3 linked regions of the Caenorhabditis elegans genome follow. The protein of the gene in region 3 interacts with the protein of the main gene of each other region in a biochemical or structural test. Each region holds a gene or a part of one and is shown on either strand. Other genes may lie near its edges.

Region 1 (5,223 bases), on a different chromosome or scaffold from region 3:
AAACGGGTTGTGCGTTTTCTTCTACTTTTCTCCCCCACTTGATGCTTTCATTATAGTCAGCTTTTCTGTTTTTTTCTCTTTCATTTCGGCACCCGGTAACTTTGTCGGTTAATTGATCTCTAGCTATTACTTTCCATTGACAAATAAAAGATTGCTATGCCGAAACATTTTTACAAGTTGGAAGATTATCCTTTTTAAGTAAGTGTTTTAATTACACGGTGACATACGACTGTCATGTTTGCCATCAATATTTTTGTGATGGCATGATAAAAAATTCATTTAAACCAGAAAAATGCTTATGAAAATCAATCTATGTCTACCTACTATGGGAGCTAGTTTGAAGTTCTCCGAGGATACAATATTCCCAATTCTGCAATTTTCATTCATAAAAGGTTGTCATATACATAAATCAATAACCTCAATATGCAAATTGAAAGAATTTTAATTTCTGAACAATTACTTTATTTTTTTTTTCAATTCTGAAAAGTTTAAAGATTTAAAAAAAAAGTATGTTACTAATAAAAAACAAGATTCATTAATAGGACACGCTTAAGAAGAAATCAACGTAATCAGAAAATTGAAATAGAAACCCGTGAATATGGTAAATACTAATGGTTTTGTTCTGACACGTGTTGCAATTTGTGTGTTTAAAAAATTCTGATATCAAATGTTTTGAAAGTGTCCACGAATTCCATCAGCACTGGCTGTTGAGTTGGGTCCTGAGCTGTTAAGTAGATGTGATGTCTCATCAGTGGATTCATCTTCTCCACTTCGAATCGGTGGAAGTGGGGATGATGGAAATGATGTTGGCATTGGAGAACATGGAGTAATTGAATCACATCCAGTCATTCTCGTTATTTCCGTACTGTTTCTTCGTACCTGGATTCCGACCATCTGAAAATTAACATGGCTTATTCAAAAGTTTTGTAGAAAAAACATGTGTTGATATTCTTACTTTAACACTTGCTGACCTTGTATCTTCCGAATAAGTGCCATTTCCATTCATTCCATTTCCGTTTTTCTCGTTTGGTTTTAGAAAAGTCATTTTTGTGGTACTGTAGGCGTCGGATGGACGACGAATCGACGGCGATGACATTCGGAGACATCTCACCTTTGCAGGTACAAAGACACGGTGGAATTCCTAAAAATTTTATGATTTTTCTATATTGAAAATGAACCAATTTTTATTTATAGAAATCAAATGAAAATGCTTGTTCCCTGTGTTAAAATGAACTAAACACACATTCATAAAATGAGCAAAGTATGTACTTCCATGATTTTTCTTGTAAAAACAACTCCGCAATTGTCGGAAAATGTAGAGATCTTAAGCGCATTTTAAGACGCTGCCGAACATCATGTTAGTAAGAAAACAAAGAAAAAAAAGACAAATTCGCTTGGAAAGTTCCACCGAATGTTGAGAAAGTTTGTAGTATTTTCTAACAGCATACAACACATTTTTCATTGAGGTATTTTGAAAAGATGTCGCTCATTGAAATTTTTTTCAAGTAATATCAAAACTTACATTTCTGAACTGTCCACTCATTGAGCAGTAAATGATGAATGAACAACATGAACCGCAAAGTGAGAACAAATCGAGAATGTCTCCCAGATTGTTATAAATGTAAATTCGGAATTCTTCAGAACACATTCCAGACAAGACAGCCATAATTCCTTGAGGTAATTCAGTCACTAGCATAACTGCTACAATTGCCAATAACATATGAGTTGTCCGATCGACACGTTCTCCTCTCCCCCGTAAGCTTCCATTTCTGCCTAATTTCTCGTTGCCTGCAACTGAAATGCTCAGTCTTTGTCCGTTTCGAGTAGTCGTTTGATTCGGTGGTCGATGTTGCGAGTTCTTGAGAAGACGTTGACGATTCTCACGCACTTCACGAAGAATTCGTAAAAGGAGCCAAACAAACAACGATAGAAGCGCACATGGTAATACTTTGAATACCATACCGGATATCCAATAAGATAACCGGAAGACCTGCAGGAAATTAGGAAATTGGTTTTTGCTAGGGTGACGATCACGATGATAAATATTATTTTGTATAATTTTCATGATATCATATGTACATATGATCGATCAATTATTTCCAAAAAGGTTTATATAAATCCAAAGCTTCAAAGTTATATTATGATGATCTTGCCAAAATTTTTAGTTTATAAATCTAAGTTCCAATAAAAAAGTTTTTCGAGAAATTTTGTTTGTATACAATTTGTCAAACATTATTTTTTAACAAAAATCTTGTTTTTTTTTTACTGAAATTCAAAAATCTTACCAGACAGCTGTTTGCTTTTGCAATGTCTGCAATTCCAGGAAGATACGCGGGCGAATTCCAGAACATTGGATCCAAATCGGTACACGTTTCATTCAATGGCTGTTCATTGATTTTGTAATTCAGAAAATTCGGTGCATTAAGCACTGCTACAAGGGATACAGTAACAGCAACGGCATAATAAGAATGCCTTAACGTCACTTGCATACCACCCATATTTCCCCTACTTCGAAGTGTTACATATCGAACAAGTGCAAGCATAACTGCAATAAAATCGAAGAGTTGGACAGTTGTCTTCAGAATGAAAAGCTTACCTGACAACCAAACACTTGAAGAATGTGCAACTAATGAAAGATGAGCATGAGCAATTAAAAATAACGCCCAAGAGTAGGACCAATGTTTCGGATGACAAAACTTGAAAGCGACAAATGAGTAATGTGTTGTGTATATTAAATTTGAAAATAACACAACTGTATCACAAGATGCCATTGCTGTCAAAATCATATTAACTGGCGTTCGCATTGTTCGTCTCGTTAGTACGACGATGTTACAGAAATTAGCGATTGTACCCAACACGCATAGAAATATTGATAAGTAGGCATGTATAGGATGGTAGAAATTATATACACTTCTGAAAAAAAAACGTTTAATTTCACTTTTTTCCACTTTTGCTCTTGAAATATTTATTAATGGCTCTCTTTTTTATGGTCATCACTTTTGAGGACACAATAATTTAAGATAAGATAACCTTCTTCAATAACTTGGTTTTATTCGCTATTTTTAGGGATGATTTCTACAAATAATAGGATAACTTTTAATGATGATAAACTGTACTTTTTGAAAATACGTCAAATACAACAGTACTGGGCAATTATTTGAAAGATTTTTGAGACACAAAAGTAAAACTTACACAAAAACATCGTATAAAAAACTTTTATCGGGCAGATGAATAAATGTAGTTTTGCATTCGGTAAACTCCATTTTGTTTGCTGTTCCTCTGTTCTATTGTTTCTGATTCTATTTGAACATCTGAAAAAAAACAACAATTTATTAATATTGAAACGTTGAAAATGAGGAAAACAAGCGTTCAAATGAAAAACGGCTCCGATTCGGAAAACCGGAAAACGTCATTAGAAATGAGAGATGACTATGAAAAAAATGACAAAAGGGACAAAGATTTGGCAACACATTGCTCATTCACTTTTTAAAACAAAAACACTCAAATAATAGGGTGAGTGTGTTTTTTTGGAACAAAAAAACTAACAAAAATATACTGCAAGCTTTTGCTCAAAAATCTAAGATAAACACCAATTATTGCCAATTAGGGAGATCTTGCAGATAAAACTTCCTTAAAGAAATCATTATTCAGAAATTGAAGGAGTTGCAAAATCAGAAAATATAAAAATAAAAATAGCACAGGAAGTTTAATGATTTTTTTACTGGGAAAATTAAGAGTACAATTGAAAAAAGAGAGCCAAAAAGTTTTGAATGAACTTCAGAAGGAATAATTTGCATAAACTGAACAAGATTAATACATTCAAAAGTACACAAATTTTCGGAAAAATTGATATGCACTATACCAAATTCATATTCACATTCGTTTTTTGATTAATTTTTTTGCCGCTACACAATTTCGGCAATTGAGCATGTATTCGATTACAAAGAAAATGTCACAAATTCCAGGCACTTGGAAAAATAAATTGATAATTATTTCTTTTTCTATCACTTGGAAGAAGAGTTGTTTTTAAATGCCCGCTATTTCAGAGAGACATCACGTCATTAAAAACCATAAACGTTACGCATTTTGAAAAATAGAAAATTCAAAAACCTAAATGGATATCTCAACAGCTTTTTGTCACTATTTCACTGTCTCTTCACTTCAAAACACACACATATATATATATATATATATATATATATATATATATATATATGTGCAATATCCGTATCTACTTCCAACCGCTATTCGATCACTAAAAGAAACTCAAAACAAGCCTCGCTTCCTAGTCCTTCCGTTCGCCGCCATGATGGGCCCAGTATCTAAGCATGGGCGGAATTTGTTGCTTTTTTACTCAAAAAAAAGAACCTTTTTTATGTTGAGCACGGACAGATAAACGCAGAGCGGGGTGCAACGCATCTCTCCCCGACAAAAAATAACATCAGAATATAACCAAATTTCGGTCAGCGCTCGGAAGTGTGTGAGGCGGCCTAGCGCGCTCCAACTCTAATTACAGAGCGGATAAGGTTTGGATAGATATTTCCAAAGTTAGTCATGTGTTGATCCGTGACCACATGTCAGGTGAGCACCCATTTCCGGAGTCACTTCAGGAAAAAAACTCATTGAGCTGACTCTCGTGCCAGAGGAATTTTTCGCACTTATCATTAAAGAAAACGACAAAAGTTTATGCTGAAAATGAAAATATTTGCCGGAATTCGGTTTGAAGTTACGATAAAAAAGTAAAAGGTACAAGATCAAACTCCACTGGCAAACATATCCCAAGTATTGAAAATTTTAAGCATAATTACTTTTGAGTTAGGGGAAGGAAAATGATGGAAGTCCGGTTAGGTCGGATTTTCCTATATTGCTTGTTAAATCATTTTTGTGTATTAAATTGTATTGAAAAATAGCTGAAAAATAAGGATTATTATAACTTCTCTTATTTTACTTTTTAAAATTATTTTTTGTGACGTCGAACTTTAAAATGCAACGCCAAAAGTTTCCACAATGCAATCAAATCCTTTATACTTAAAACATCAAAATCCAACAACATGTAAACATATTTACAGAACAGAAAATTCTAAAAATATTACAAACTTGTAAACAAGTTGATAGTTGAGAAGACCTATCAAGAAGTATGATACGAGTGAGAGTACAAAAAGTACCCACAAGAAGTATCAAACTCGGAGAAAAAGATGGAAGGTACGGGGCCAAATAAAAAAA
Region 2 (5,098 bases), on a different chromosome or scaffold from region 3:
CGTCACAATTTTTGATCCTAGCTTCTTTTTGCAAAACTTAAAGCAACAAACCTTATAAGCGAGAAGAAGAACAATGGTTTCAATGCTAAATCTTCCACGGTCCACATAGTCACCAAGGAATAAATAATTCGCAGTCGGCGGCCATCCACCACGATGGAAGAGACGAAGAAGATCCGGGAATTGTCCATGGATGTCACCGCACACCTTTATCGGAGCATTCATTTCAACCATTGATTTCTGTCTTTTAAATACATCCAGTGCCAAATCGAGAAGCTTTAGAACTCGTCCTTCCGTGATCACTTCGGAAAGTAGCTTTTCGTGAGTACTAGCGCTCAGGACATCAATTATTATGTTGTCAACGACGTCGTCTTTCATAATCTAAAACATCAAACCTTTTTAACTTTTGATTCCTGGAAGAGAAAAAGAGAACTCACCTTTCGGAAATCACTTTCAATTGAAAATAATTTTTTTTCCTAGTTTTACTCACATCTACGTGTCTTTTTGTAAACAATTTTTTTTTCACGGCGCCGTGAATAATTTAATAATTTTGTAAACCATATTGATTTATATAAAAACTGAATTAATAAAAAACAAAAAGTACCCGTAACAAGAATAGAATAGAAAATGCGAAAGCTATGAAAATGAGCAAGATATCACAAAAAATCTGCAAAGGGAATTTGTACCGAGATCGAAAAAATTGGAATTTAAAGTTGATGTTCTCTACTGCTGTTCTGATTGTCCGACACGGAAGCTTCATACCGCCAATACTCATTGCGTGCTGGTTCCGGTTCAGTTGCCAGTGGCGTATAGCTTTGTTTTCTGCAAATTAAAGATAATATTTTCCAGACTTCAAAAACAAATTAACTGACCTTCCTAGTCGTAAGCTGTTGTTCAACTGAAGCTGTGAAAGTTCCGTCGGAGAACCACGACGGGTCGTCCACAATCTGAGAGGAAAAATTTTATTTTAGACTACTGTAACAGGAACTGGTTCAATAAGAATGAACTTACCCACAAGCCCACGAAGGAATGATAACTTCCCAAAACGTCTGCCGGTATCTTGAAGACATCACACAATATAAAACAAAATTTACAGAGGAATTGACAAGCGATAGGAGATCAAGAACATCACCAATGTAGAAATAGAGGTATCTGAAATGGAAAATTTAATTTTTCGAAAACTTCTTTAGCGCCCAATTTTAGCTTTAATTGGGCCAACAAAAATTTAGCAACACTTTTGCAAGACTCAGCCTGCACCCAAATTTCCAAAAATTCAAATGACTCAAGAAAAATTGGGTCAAGCTTGGGGCAGTTCGATTTCAGTTTTTCCAGGCCAAATTTCTAGTTAAACATCAAATCTTACCTATGAACGTCTGTAGTAAAAATTGCGCAAAGAATCGAGATGATTCCTTGTGGAAACTCCGTTATTAAAAATACCAATAAAATAACAACAAGCATCAATGTGGTTCTATCTGATGTTCCATTCTTTCTGAAAATTTCCATTTTGTCATAAAAGTTCTTTGAGAGTTGACTATACTTTTTCAATGGTTTTGAATCTGTTGATGCATTTGACGGAACACTCGTTAGTTTCCTCCGATGCTTTTCTGCGTCTCTAATCTTTGATACAAGGCCGAAAGACAAGAAAATTAGCAGAATACATGGAATGATCTGAAAACTGGTAGGACGTTTAATTTGATAACTCGCGTACTCGCTAACCTTGAACAGAATTCCAATCATCCAAATATTCCATTTAAACAACCGGCAATTGTTGATAGTCGCCGCGTGGCTGACCATAAAAGTGTACACCGGTTCAGAGTAGTTCGATGCAAATTTTTGACACGTTTTGCCAGGTCGCCAGTCATTTCCTTCTACACGGGCGATTTCGTGGACCAGCATATTTGGAATACAAAGTACAAATACGACCATATAGATTCCCAGGCACAACTTCCATGCGAACTTTGGTCGTTGCCATTGACTGAAAATTTCCAGATTTTTTAAGGGGGCCAACGTTTCTGGGTATATTGCTTGCAATGTCTTTGTAAAATTTCAATTTTAAATATTTTTGGATACCTACCATTGTTTGAAAAAAATTTTGAAAACTTTCATTACAAAACTTGTTCATCTTAGTGTATAAAAAAATGTTAGTCCCTTAAACTTTGCTCCCAGCATACCTATTCAAAGCGGTAACCCTTAATGTCATCCTCCGAATGAACGCCATCGCCACAGCGAGCCATAAAGAAGTTGTGTGTAGTGTGATGCTCAAAACAACATGCCACAATAGGAATTGTAACCAAGAATGAGTGAACGTTGGAGTGCTGTAATAAAATCTAATAATAAAAATTATTGAGTTTCATTGCAAACGCTTGTTTTCGTGTTTTTCAGTATCATTTTACGAGCGACTTTTCATCTTGAATTCACTTTTGTTATTTATGAATACACGTAGTTTGTAGCTTTGTGACGATTTTCAAAATTTCCTATGATCAATAAAATATGCAGTTGTTTTCATGTTTTGATGCACATAAAACGGATAGGAGGAAATAAATAGTTCCAGGTTCAACTAAAATTCTATGCCTCTTCAATTAAGTGCAGCAAGTGACGAACATGGGCATTCAACTTTTGAAATTCCATTATTACTTTGAGGATGTTTTTTTGTGTGTGTGTGTTGATACTTGAGTGGAAAAATAGAAGAATATAAATATCCTTCAAAATTTTCAATAGAAAGAGCACACTTAGTTTGAATTCTTGTTATTAATGGTTTGAGGTAGAGTTTGGAAAATAAGGATTTTGTTTCAAAGTATTCGAAATATTCAAATATATGCTGCATAATCAAAAAAAAAGGAAACTTAAAAAATCGAGAAAGATTTAAAAATGTCCAATTTTTGAAATTGCGAATTTTCATATTTGAATTTTTCCAAAATGAGAAGCCATGACTATTTTTAAACCAATCAGCGCCTTCGAACTCTACATCCTTTTTATGAAGTGACCGACATTTTCCGGGTTTTGCAATTCACCATAAAATTGGAATAGGAAAAACCAGAAAATAAATATTTTAAAGCTTGTGTTATTTTTCCAAAAATTCCATATTTGTTGATGTTCCTACTCAAAAGCCGCCACGCCGCTCCATTTCCCAAAACAAAAACATTTCCACCCAATAAACACACAAGAATTACCAGGAATTATTTCGTCGTAAGACAAAATGTATAATATAAATGAGATAGGATGCCATTGTTCCGATATCACAGACAGCCACTGCTGTCAGTATGCAGTTGACGGCCGAATTGCGCATGTTGGGTCTCGATAAAACTGCCACATGCACAAAATTGGTGAAGATACCAAAAACGCAGATGAGCACACATACATATCCGTGAATTGGCTGGTACCATCTGACAATTAATCATTGGTTCATTTTTCTTTTTTTGAAAGAAGTGCACAAAAAATAGTTTAACAAACCTTTGAAAATGTGCAAGTTTCCGAAGAAATGCCTGCGTACTGTTACTGTTCGGATCAAACAACTGAGCATCGTGCGGACATTCCATATCTAGCACATCCTTCAAAATGTTGAAAATTTAAGGGGTTTTTAAAGACCATTGAAACAAAGAAACATAAGGAGAAAATCAGAAGAAGCCAAGAGCAACAGGGTGGAATGCGTTCTGTGTTTTTTGAACTTTTAGATGACAGTCGGTTGTTGTGGAAGAAGCTGATCGAGTTTTCGAACAAAATATATAATTTCGTTTTTCAAAAAATTTACAAAATTATAGGTCACTGGCCGGAAGTTATTTTTGTTCCGTGAGTTGTTATTTCTATAGCAGGAAAATACTTTGAAAAATTGTAAAAATCTTTGATTGAAGATTTTTATTTTTTAAAAACTATTTCCTAGAGTAAAAAAAACCAAAAAACCTATTTTTTTGCCGGCCAGGGCGGTAGATTTGTTTGTTTTCGAAAACAAAGTGAGCGAAAAATTGCAAAAAACGCGTAAATTCTTTTGTAAATTTTGCATGTTTAAAAAAAAATGACACTCGAAACCGTAAAAGAGAGCCATATTTATCAAAATATTTATTATTTGGGTTTAAAACATTTTAAAATAATTTTTTTCGATTTCAGCAGATCTTGAAAATGCACAAAATAATTGGTAGGCATGTAGGCATGCCTGCCAACTTATCTTGGCAAGACTAGTCTTTTAAAACATAGTAAGCATATTTTTCAGCAGTTTTATAATTGCGATGATTATAATTGTGAAGCACACTCGTTCGTGAATGTTTAATCTTTCGCTCAACTTTCTGTTTCTTGTGAACATGTAACCTAGATCTAGGGCTTCTAGGTAGGCGCCAAACGACTGCCTACCTGCCGGACTTCAAAGTTAGGTCCACCTGCTTTTCATCAAATTAATCGAAATTCAAATTTATTGCTTTCAAATTTTATGCGCCTGCCTACCATGTTAGTCCTACCTAGAACAGAAACTTATTAGTTAAGTATAAAAGTTTTAAACTTTGGTATTTCATGCCACCATAAAACATATAAAATCAGGGGGCCATCTTGTGAAAATGTTTGTTGTGTGGTGCTGCTTCACACACACCGAAACATTTGAAACAGAATGGATTTCGAGACAGAAATGTGGCATTCAAAGTTAATGAATTCATCTTCCAGAGAAGATGAATCGGAAAATCGAATATTCTCACGACTTATGAATAAGGAAAACGTGGAAAAAAAAAGTTTAGGGGCGCAGGCGCAGTCAAAAGGGGAAGAAAGAAAGCTCAAGTCCCTTGGGAATTGAAGTGATGTGCCTATTGACTATTGACCACTGAACATTTCATCTTTGTTTCAAGAAATCAAAAGAGTGACCTAGCTAATTCTCTAACACCTTAAAATGCAGAGAGCCTAATTGGGGGAGAAATGAGAAAAATGCAGGAAAAAAGCTGAAAAGGGGCAAAAACTGGAGGAAGGAGAGGCGCTACCAATGGTGGATTGCGCACGTAACGTGTTCATTGTCTTTTTTACTCGAAACAAAATGGCGAAGCTTCTCCTCAAATTCAATTTGCAGTTCAAGCAGCTTCTAGTGCTTGAAAAGCAGTGACGAGACTGCATTATTTTCAAAGTGACGAGC
Region 3 (7,722 bases):
TGGCCAGAAGTTTTGCTGCTCGACAATTTCCGGCTGAAACATTCATTTATTTTTATAACTTTTCTCAATTTTTAAAAATCTTACAATAAGTTCATCTGGACTTGCAATATTCTTCTCTTCTTGCTCAGCAATTTCTTCACCAGATGACGGTGGATGAGCTGCTGTGAGTGCAAGCAACGTGGCAAAAAGCAAGGAGAAGATGAATGTTTTAAGGGAAGAGGAGAAGGCGTTCATGTCGCTGTAGTTGTCTGAAAATTGCAGAAATAATGAAGAAGGGGAAGGGGGAGCTTGAAGCGGAAAATTATGCGACGAAAAGGTTGAGCAGGTGCTTTTAAAAGAAACGGAGAACAATTGATAAAGGGGTGGAGTCAGTGTGACGTTGATAATGGTTGGATTAAAAAATTAGAGGACAAGTAATTTATCAATATTAACTTAAACAAAGGGTGAATAAACCGGGATTGCCCAAAGTTTGGCCGCACCCAGCTCAAAATTTTTTAATTTTTGTTTCGCCTGAAAACGAAATTCGAACACTTTTTTTGGTTGCTTTTTTGGCATTTCTGGTTTACCTGTTTAAAAAAAAATTGACGTTCAGTTGGAAAATACCATGAAACAATTGTACTTCAATAATTCTCCAAAAATAGAGGAAATAACATTTCACTGGTGTCTAAAAGTGATAGGTTTCCTAAAAAACAAAAACGCACATCCGTTTTCACAAACTTCAAGCCTTTTATTCAAAAACTCAATCACCAATGTTTCTCAACTGACGCATCTTCAACATTTTGACGTAATTTTTGAAAACTTTGACGTGCTAAATATTTCCTGTGCAAGCTGATTTTTGTTATCTAGACATTTTGGTTCAATTCTCAAAAAAAAACATCTGCAATGAGGCGTGTGGAATAGTTTTCGGAAAAGGTTGGAGATTGAAAATTGATCGGGATTATTCTAAATTATCATTGAGTTGATTAAAAAGTTTTCAATTATTCTCTTATACTGTTCACCCTGGGACTAATTAAAAATACGGTAAATACTATTTATTGGCTAATCGTAATATTTTATTTAAATATCCAATGACACAAAAACGCACGTCAAAGAGAGAAGAAAGAAAATTTAAAAAAACGTATCAATAATGCAAAGAAATATCTCGGAGAACATCAAGACCGGTGCGCCCGATTCCTGGAAGACATTGAGCCCCCACGTAAGAAGTGAAAGACCGAAAGACCTTTTTTATAATAAGTAATGAAACATGAGAACTATTCTGAACATTATACGAGCTGATTGGACACCCGATATGAGCATTTGAGTGGTGAAGTCTCTTGAACTTTCAAATTTTGCATAATTTCTGTTGGAAAAGAAGGAAATGTGGGTGTGGTCTGACGTCAAGGGTTCAAAATTATGCTGGTGGTCCGTTAGAAGTAGTTCTATGAAATTTAAACAAAAATCAATGGTTCTCCAAACAAATTTCTGAAGCTTAAAGGATAGCTGGAAAAAACACCAGAACTAAATCTTTAGAGCCAGCCAAATTTTTCAAACTTGTCAATTTCAGATATTATGCGTTGAATCCATGTTCTGTTATCCGATGGATCAAAAATTATAAGTTTGTAAACAATACGAATTTATAAAAGATCCTTATTAAAACTTCAAACTCACATTAACCTCCTCGGAAGGGATTAATTATAGACTTAAGCTTCTAAAATAACTAATATTTTTTAGTCGAGCTTCTTTTATGTGTCTAAAGAAATTATTACAGACGTTTTGGTTTTCAATGAAATATAATCCTTTGGTTTTTAGTTTGTGTCTATATCTATTGGTCTCTAGGGTTACGGTAGTGACGGGTTAACTTCAATTAGTAAATCACCTATTTACTGTCTCGAACGTGGTCATAAACTTTGTTGAGTGTAGGCAAAAAATGCCTACCTATTCATGTATGTAGATTGTCAATTGATCTCCATAATTGCTGGAATTCAGTGATTTTGATAAGATTTCAGAAGCTGATAGATTTTCAAAATGGAGAATAAAACTTCTAATGAATAAGACAGAGTCAAAAGTTGAACTCACCACTTTGCCAAATTCAAAAGCTGAAACTAATGTTGTAAGAGTGGATTTCTTAGGTATTTATACTTAAACCTTCAGTTCAAAAAACCTTAACTAAATACCAAAGGGGTATTATTACGACACATATCAGACTTTAGTCTAAGATTAGGATTAATATTAATCTATTGCTTACATTTTCATGTTTTAATGAATCAAGGTTTAGGTTACACTGTGAAAAAGAATAATCTTTTAATGGACGAGATGATCTTCGGAAAGTGAATTGACAATGCGATCTTAGGAATAAAATTAGAATTGTGATAAGTTTAGTCTAGTTTCAAAAGCTTGCTGGAAGTGTTTGTCTTAAAACAAGGAAATCTATCACCTAGCCTATTCATAGGCACAAAAATACATATCATCGAAACTATCACAAAATGTCCAAGAGGCACGCAGGTAAGCATTTTGGGGGCCTTTAGAGATCATTTCAAAGTAAAATAACGCGAACAGTATGTGCTTGGATGTTCTTCATTTGAAAGCTTTCTACTGTTTTTCGTTCAGGAAAATTATCGTACTGCGTAGGATTCAGATCTTTGTCATAAACTTCGTTCATTCATAGTTTCTTCCGCATGCCATTTCAAATAAGATCAAAAGTCTATTTTTTGAATAACCTTAACATTTATCTTAAACTCTAATTTTTCTTTTAGGTTCTATTGTTTGCGATAATGGATGTCTCTCAGGATTAAGCATAGTCAAAAATCACATCCGTGTCTTTTTCCGGATTTTCTATCACGAAAACTCATCACATAGGTAACTGTAACAGATGATCAGTCAGGTAGTGTGGCATAATGAAACCTAATAAGTATTTTGAAAATGAATATTCTTTGTACAGCAAAAATACATTTAATTCTAATACCACATTGAAACTCTAAAATTTCAATGAATTATATGACGTCACACGGCGCTGAAAATGTGTCCCAGCAGAGAAAAAAGAAAAAGAACGGAATAATAAGAAATGTGAAGAACAGTTGGAGGTGCTTAAAAATGCATGCAAAAATACTAAGAAATTCACTGGATATTGGTCACAATTTGTAGATTTGTGCGTACAAACTCGTGGTGTAGAATTACTTTATTAGGTGTGATATGAGTTATCAGAATCAGTTTGATTAAAAATTGGATTGGAAAATGTGGAAAAATTGTCATGGTGCGTGGTTTGATCTGAGAATAATTGGAAAATATGATGGATTGAAAAGGAAAATCCTGAGAAAATTTTGAGAAATGCCTTTTTGGAAAAATGACGCAATTGGAATTAATTGAGTAGTTGGGCTACAGTCACGTACTACATTTTGAAGAGTTTTATAAAAAAATATGGTGGTTCTTTGATATATTTTTCCCGGTGTAATGATAGAAATTCCTATCTGGAAGTAAATTTCCAGAGCTCTCTACGTATTCAGATTCCCACGTAAAGATTTTATAATTTTCAAGAACTCTTTTCTGTTTTCTGGATTTGTGGTAAAGCTCTGAGTTTTGTGATCACGATGCTTCAACTGGAATTTTAAATAGTGATAAACAGTTTCTTAATTCTCAGAGTAAGAGAAGTTTCTCCCATAGTTTTAAGGAAAGTATTCCAACTTTTAATTTTCTAAAGAAGGACACTTTTTATTACGTCTGGACTATTGAAGAAGCCAGAAACCACTAAAGTTCAAAAGAGCTCATCAAACAGTCATGGAGTCAGGGAGCAGGAGTGTAAATCAAGTGCGTGAAAGCTTGAAATTCTAAAAAAAAAGAACATTTGAAGACCTCGAAGCTCCTTGAAAACCATTTTACTACGCGACTTCCAAATCGGAATATTAAAATTTGCAAAATATTTATCAGGCATTTCCAGTTTTCGAGCCCTTGATTCACACCCCTGTTGTGTAGCAGCTAGATGTTTGAATGAAGATTTTGAATTAAAAAGAAGGAAATTTTACTGTAGCCCGTAATATAAAGGTACACTTATAAGTCGATCCAAGAAGCATGAAAATCTGAACGAATGATCTTATTCTATGCTCAATTTTTATAGGAGACGTAAATACAATTAGCAAAGAAAGAACTCTCAAAATGTTATTTTGTTGTCTACGTAATTCAACAACAACTTAAATCTTCCATGTTATGCTGAAAATATTCTGCCTGCCTTCAAGGTAACCTACGTTCCTTGGAAATATGTCATGACTACTGCCAAAGTTGTAAAAACATGAATACAAAACATACTCCTGAAGACGTGCGTGCATACGACGATGCTATACAAGAACTATAACAAGAAAGAAAAGTAGTCCTGCATATATACTAAATCTAAAAATGTATTTACAGTTTCTTTTGCCCACACAAATAAGACGCCCACTTAACTTTTCATCTTTTGAACTTGGCTCTCAAGTTTCCATAAAAAGAAGAACATTTTTGCAGGAAGCTGTCTTTCAGTCCTAAAAGCTAACTTCTTGTTTTTCTTAACTTTCGAATATCTGAAGATTCGGTGCCGCAAATTGAATAACAACAACTATTTTTGGATGGACCATAAATAGACGTTCCTCCTAACTCTTCAGGTTACACCTACGTTTTCCGAACATTTTTGAAACCTTAAAGGACAATTTAATAGAAAATCAAAGGAACATGGATAGGTAATAATTCAAAATCCGTGTGTGTTTTTGTCTGATGTTGTCACTTTCGAACAAGCAACAACTAATTCGACAACATCAATCAAAATTCCCGAATCTCGGCAATTTTTCTTCGATTAGCTTTTGAGCGTCCAAGGTTCAATTCAGGAAAAAGAAATATGAGAGCAAATGAGTGAAATTGAAAACAGAACAAGACAAGAAAATGACTAACTAGATAATATGTAACATGATAAGAAGATTATAGATTAACAATGAATAGTCAGAAATTATTCTTGTAAGTCTAGTAAATCGGCTTGCAGATTTCATCGGAACATTTATTAAAAACAATACATGTAAGAAGCCAAAATTGAACACGTGTTTTGAATTCAAGATTTTTTAAATTTATAAAAAACAAGTCTGCGGTTTTTTTTTTGGGCTTAGATTTATGTACTCTATAGCTTTTTCAAGTCATAAAAAGCTTTGAAATGCATTACTGTATTGAATAAATGTTTAGTAAATGTTTTGAAAAACTGGTAAATTTTCAAACAAAAAATTTTTTTAAAGCAATTTCAAATCATGTAGGTTCGATTATTTAGAGGTGCTAATTTGGAAAACAACCTTGTATAACTCTTTGGAGATACCCTAAATTTAGATCCACAATACATATCTAGAAATTTGATACACTAGACACTAGACATACCTCAAGAAAATTATGAACGAAAAAATGTACATTGTCTTATATAAATACTTGTATGAATGACGTTGCAATGGCTAACGTCAAATACTCCAATAAAAACTCTAGAAGTTAATCAACAATATGTGTTTAGTAATAATCGTTTGACGCCCACTTTTCGCTAGTTTTCAAGCAAAACCAATTTCCGATTTCTGAAACGAAAAATGAAAATAACTATGGCAGCTACAAATGGTCACGTAGACTAAACCAAACAACAACAATCTTCAAGAAGTTCCTCGAAAAAATTGAAGATTTTCCAGAAAAAAAAACAGTCAGATACACCACGTTTTCTGGTTATGCTCCATTGTGGCCTCAAGATACTGCTGTTAGACCAAAACTTTTTGTCAAATTTCATGAATTTCAAAGAACATTTTTGCCAGTTTGCTTTTCACGTCAACTAGATCTATTGATGTCAAAGCGAAAAAAAACCTACCAATTTTTTGCGGAAATATTGAGATCCAAATATGAATTTGCGAAGAAAGGCGTGAGCAGGCGGAGCCTAGTGCGCAATCAAATGAATGTGACTGGAATGATGTTGAATAGGGGAAAAAAGGAAACAGAATAAGGAGACAGCACAAAAAAGGAGAATGGAATGGACACTGGAAGTTGGAATATATGTAGAATAAGTAGGAATGGGTTGAGGAAGAAGAGGACAGTTTTATTGAGTTCTTTACGAGCTGGGGAATGAGGAATGATGATGGAATCATTGGAGAAAAAATTGTGGTACGACCAAAAAGCTGAAGACGTGGGTTTTGTCTGACAAGGCATGACGAATCAATGATTAGGTGGAGGGGGACATCGAATTTATGACGGAACTTCGGGAATGAAACGTGCCAAAAGATGGATGGGGGTCCAACTACCCCAATAAGTTTGATCTTTTGGAATACCAAACTAGGAGGTAATGGGGGTTTTCGGCTATTTTTAGATAAAGTTGATTGAAAACTACCGTAGTTCGACTGAAAAATTATCTTGCGTAGATGTTGGCTTTCGAATTTATTTTAGAAAATTTAGGAAAGGTTGAGAACCTTCTAGAAACTCTAGAAACTTTTGGAATATTCGGGGAAAACCGGGAAACTTTGGAAAACGTCTGTATTGTAAAATAAAGACCCGTCGCTGCGGGTTCAAATTCATGCTCTTCAAAAAAATTCAGCGCCCACAGTTCAAATATGTGATTTTAGAATTATTCTGTCAAATTAGAAGGAAGTACAAAAATTTTATATAGAAACTGAAAAAAAACGTCAGAAGACAATATATGCACCAATAGCCTATTGATTTGAAGAGCTGAAAAAGTTTAAATCCCACAAAAAACAATAGCAGGATTTTTTGGGAACCCCGCAAATGATAGAACACTTTTAATATTGGAACAAGTGCTCAAATTTTTTAAAGACAGTTAAATGAATTATTGAAATTATTCATTTTACTTTCCTTTTTTGCAAAAATAAAATCCGAATCCGTAGGTCTCGGGAAATCACTAAAGATAAGTAAGTCTTAACATTTTCCTAATTATGAAAATCAGATCGGTCAACATTTTGCAATTTCGCTAAAACATGCACAAAATAAGAACCAAGAAATCAAGCCTTTTTTTTCGTGTTATTTTCTGCGCTTTTCTTTAATAAACAGAAAATTGCTCCTGATCCAAAAATAATCCAGACAACTCATCCAAACAATCTTCTGCTCGGAGGAGAAGGAAATGCACAATTTGCAACCACTTGTACGTGGGGAAATTGAGGAAATGGTTATGTAGTTCAAAAGTATTTGTGTGGGCTCCGGATTGGGGCATGAAAAATCAAAAAAATTGTTCGTATTGGACTATTTTTCTAATAACTTTGGTAATTTTATAATTTTCCAAAACTCGGCAATTTACCAAAAAAGACCACAGATCTATTCGGAAAAGTTTTGATGCAAAAATTTAACTTTACCAGTTGTCTCCTTTTTTGAATAAATATTAAAGAACATAACATCTCCACAAAATCCAAAAAAATTGAAAAGCATCTACAAAAAAAGAAAAATGCTGCTTAATTTTCTATTAAACCCGCAGGCTTTCAATTACACATTTCAAGATATTTGGGAAGCACTATAAATACTACAAGTAGTGCAAAACAAGACGAAATCGTCATTTTAAATTATTAAATTATTGAAAATCTGAAAGAATGCTGTGCAATTCTAAAAGGGGCTTAGTCAGCGGAAGCTATTTTTTTCAAATTACTTATTCACGTCCGAGTCATCAAACTACTCAATGTGTTCTACCAAGTCTATAGCATATTCAATATCATTTGCCACTATGTTTTCACTATATTTCTATTTTATTTATAGGGAAACCCAAACTTCATATAT

What was found. The genes of interacting proteins can lie anywhere in the genome.
Region 1: the proteins of flp-4 (region 3) and dmsr-1 interact in a test that uses a peptide from one of them, tested with the Caenorhabditis elegans proteins (one large-scale study listed by BioGRID).
Region 2: the proteins of flp-4 (region 3) and dmsr-7 interact in a test that uses a peptide from one of them, tested with the Caenorhabditis elegans proteins (one large-scale study listed by BioGRID).

What each region holds. Positions count from the first base shown.
Region 1 is NC_003283.11:11,436,858-11,442,080, reverse strand, and holds dmsr-1 (G-protein coupled receptor dmsr-1), read right to left. Parts: upstream 3,312-5,223; 5' UTR 3,264-3,311; coding exon 3,193-3,263; intron 2,914-3,192; coding exon 2,597-2,913; intron 2,546-2,596; coding exon 2,286-2,545; intron 1,991-2,285; coding exon 1,523-1,990; intron 1,142-1,522; coding exon 956-1,141; intron 895-955; coding exon 664-894; 3' UTR 517-663; downstream 1-516. UniProt on the Caenorhabditis elegans protein: G-protein coupled receptor.
Region 2 is NC_003283.11:5,403,805-5,408,902, reverse strand, and holds dmsr-7 (G-protein coupled receptors family 1 profile domain-containing protein), read right to left. Parts: upstream 3,551-5,098; 5' UTR 3,534-3,550; coding exon 3,448-3,533; intron 3,381-3,447; coding exon 3,168-3,380; intron 2,313-3,167; coding exon 2,169-2,312; intron 1,973-2,168; coding exon 1,714-1,972; intron 1,666-1,713; coding exon 1,535-1,665; intron 1,487-1,534; coding exon 1,361-1,486; intron 1,150-1,360; coding exon 1,009-1,149; intron 945-1,008; coding exon 870-944; intron 820-869; coding exon 705-819; 3' UTR 517-704; downstream 1-516. Other genes in the region: C25A6.1 (Serine/threonine-protein phosphatase), read right to left, coding at 52-375.
Region 3 is NC_003280.10:10,047,151-10,054,872, reverse strand, and holds the start of flp-4 (FMRF-Like Peptide), read right to left. Parts: upstream 6,006-7,722; 5' UTR 5,822-6,005; intron 249-5,821; 5' UTR 235-248; coding exon 85-234; intron 34-84; coding exon 1-33.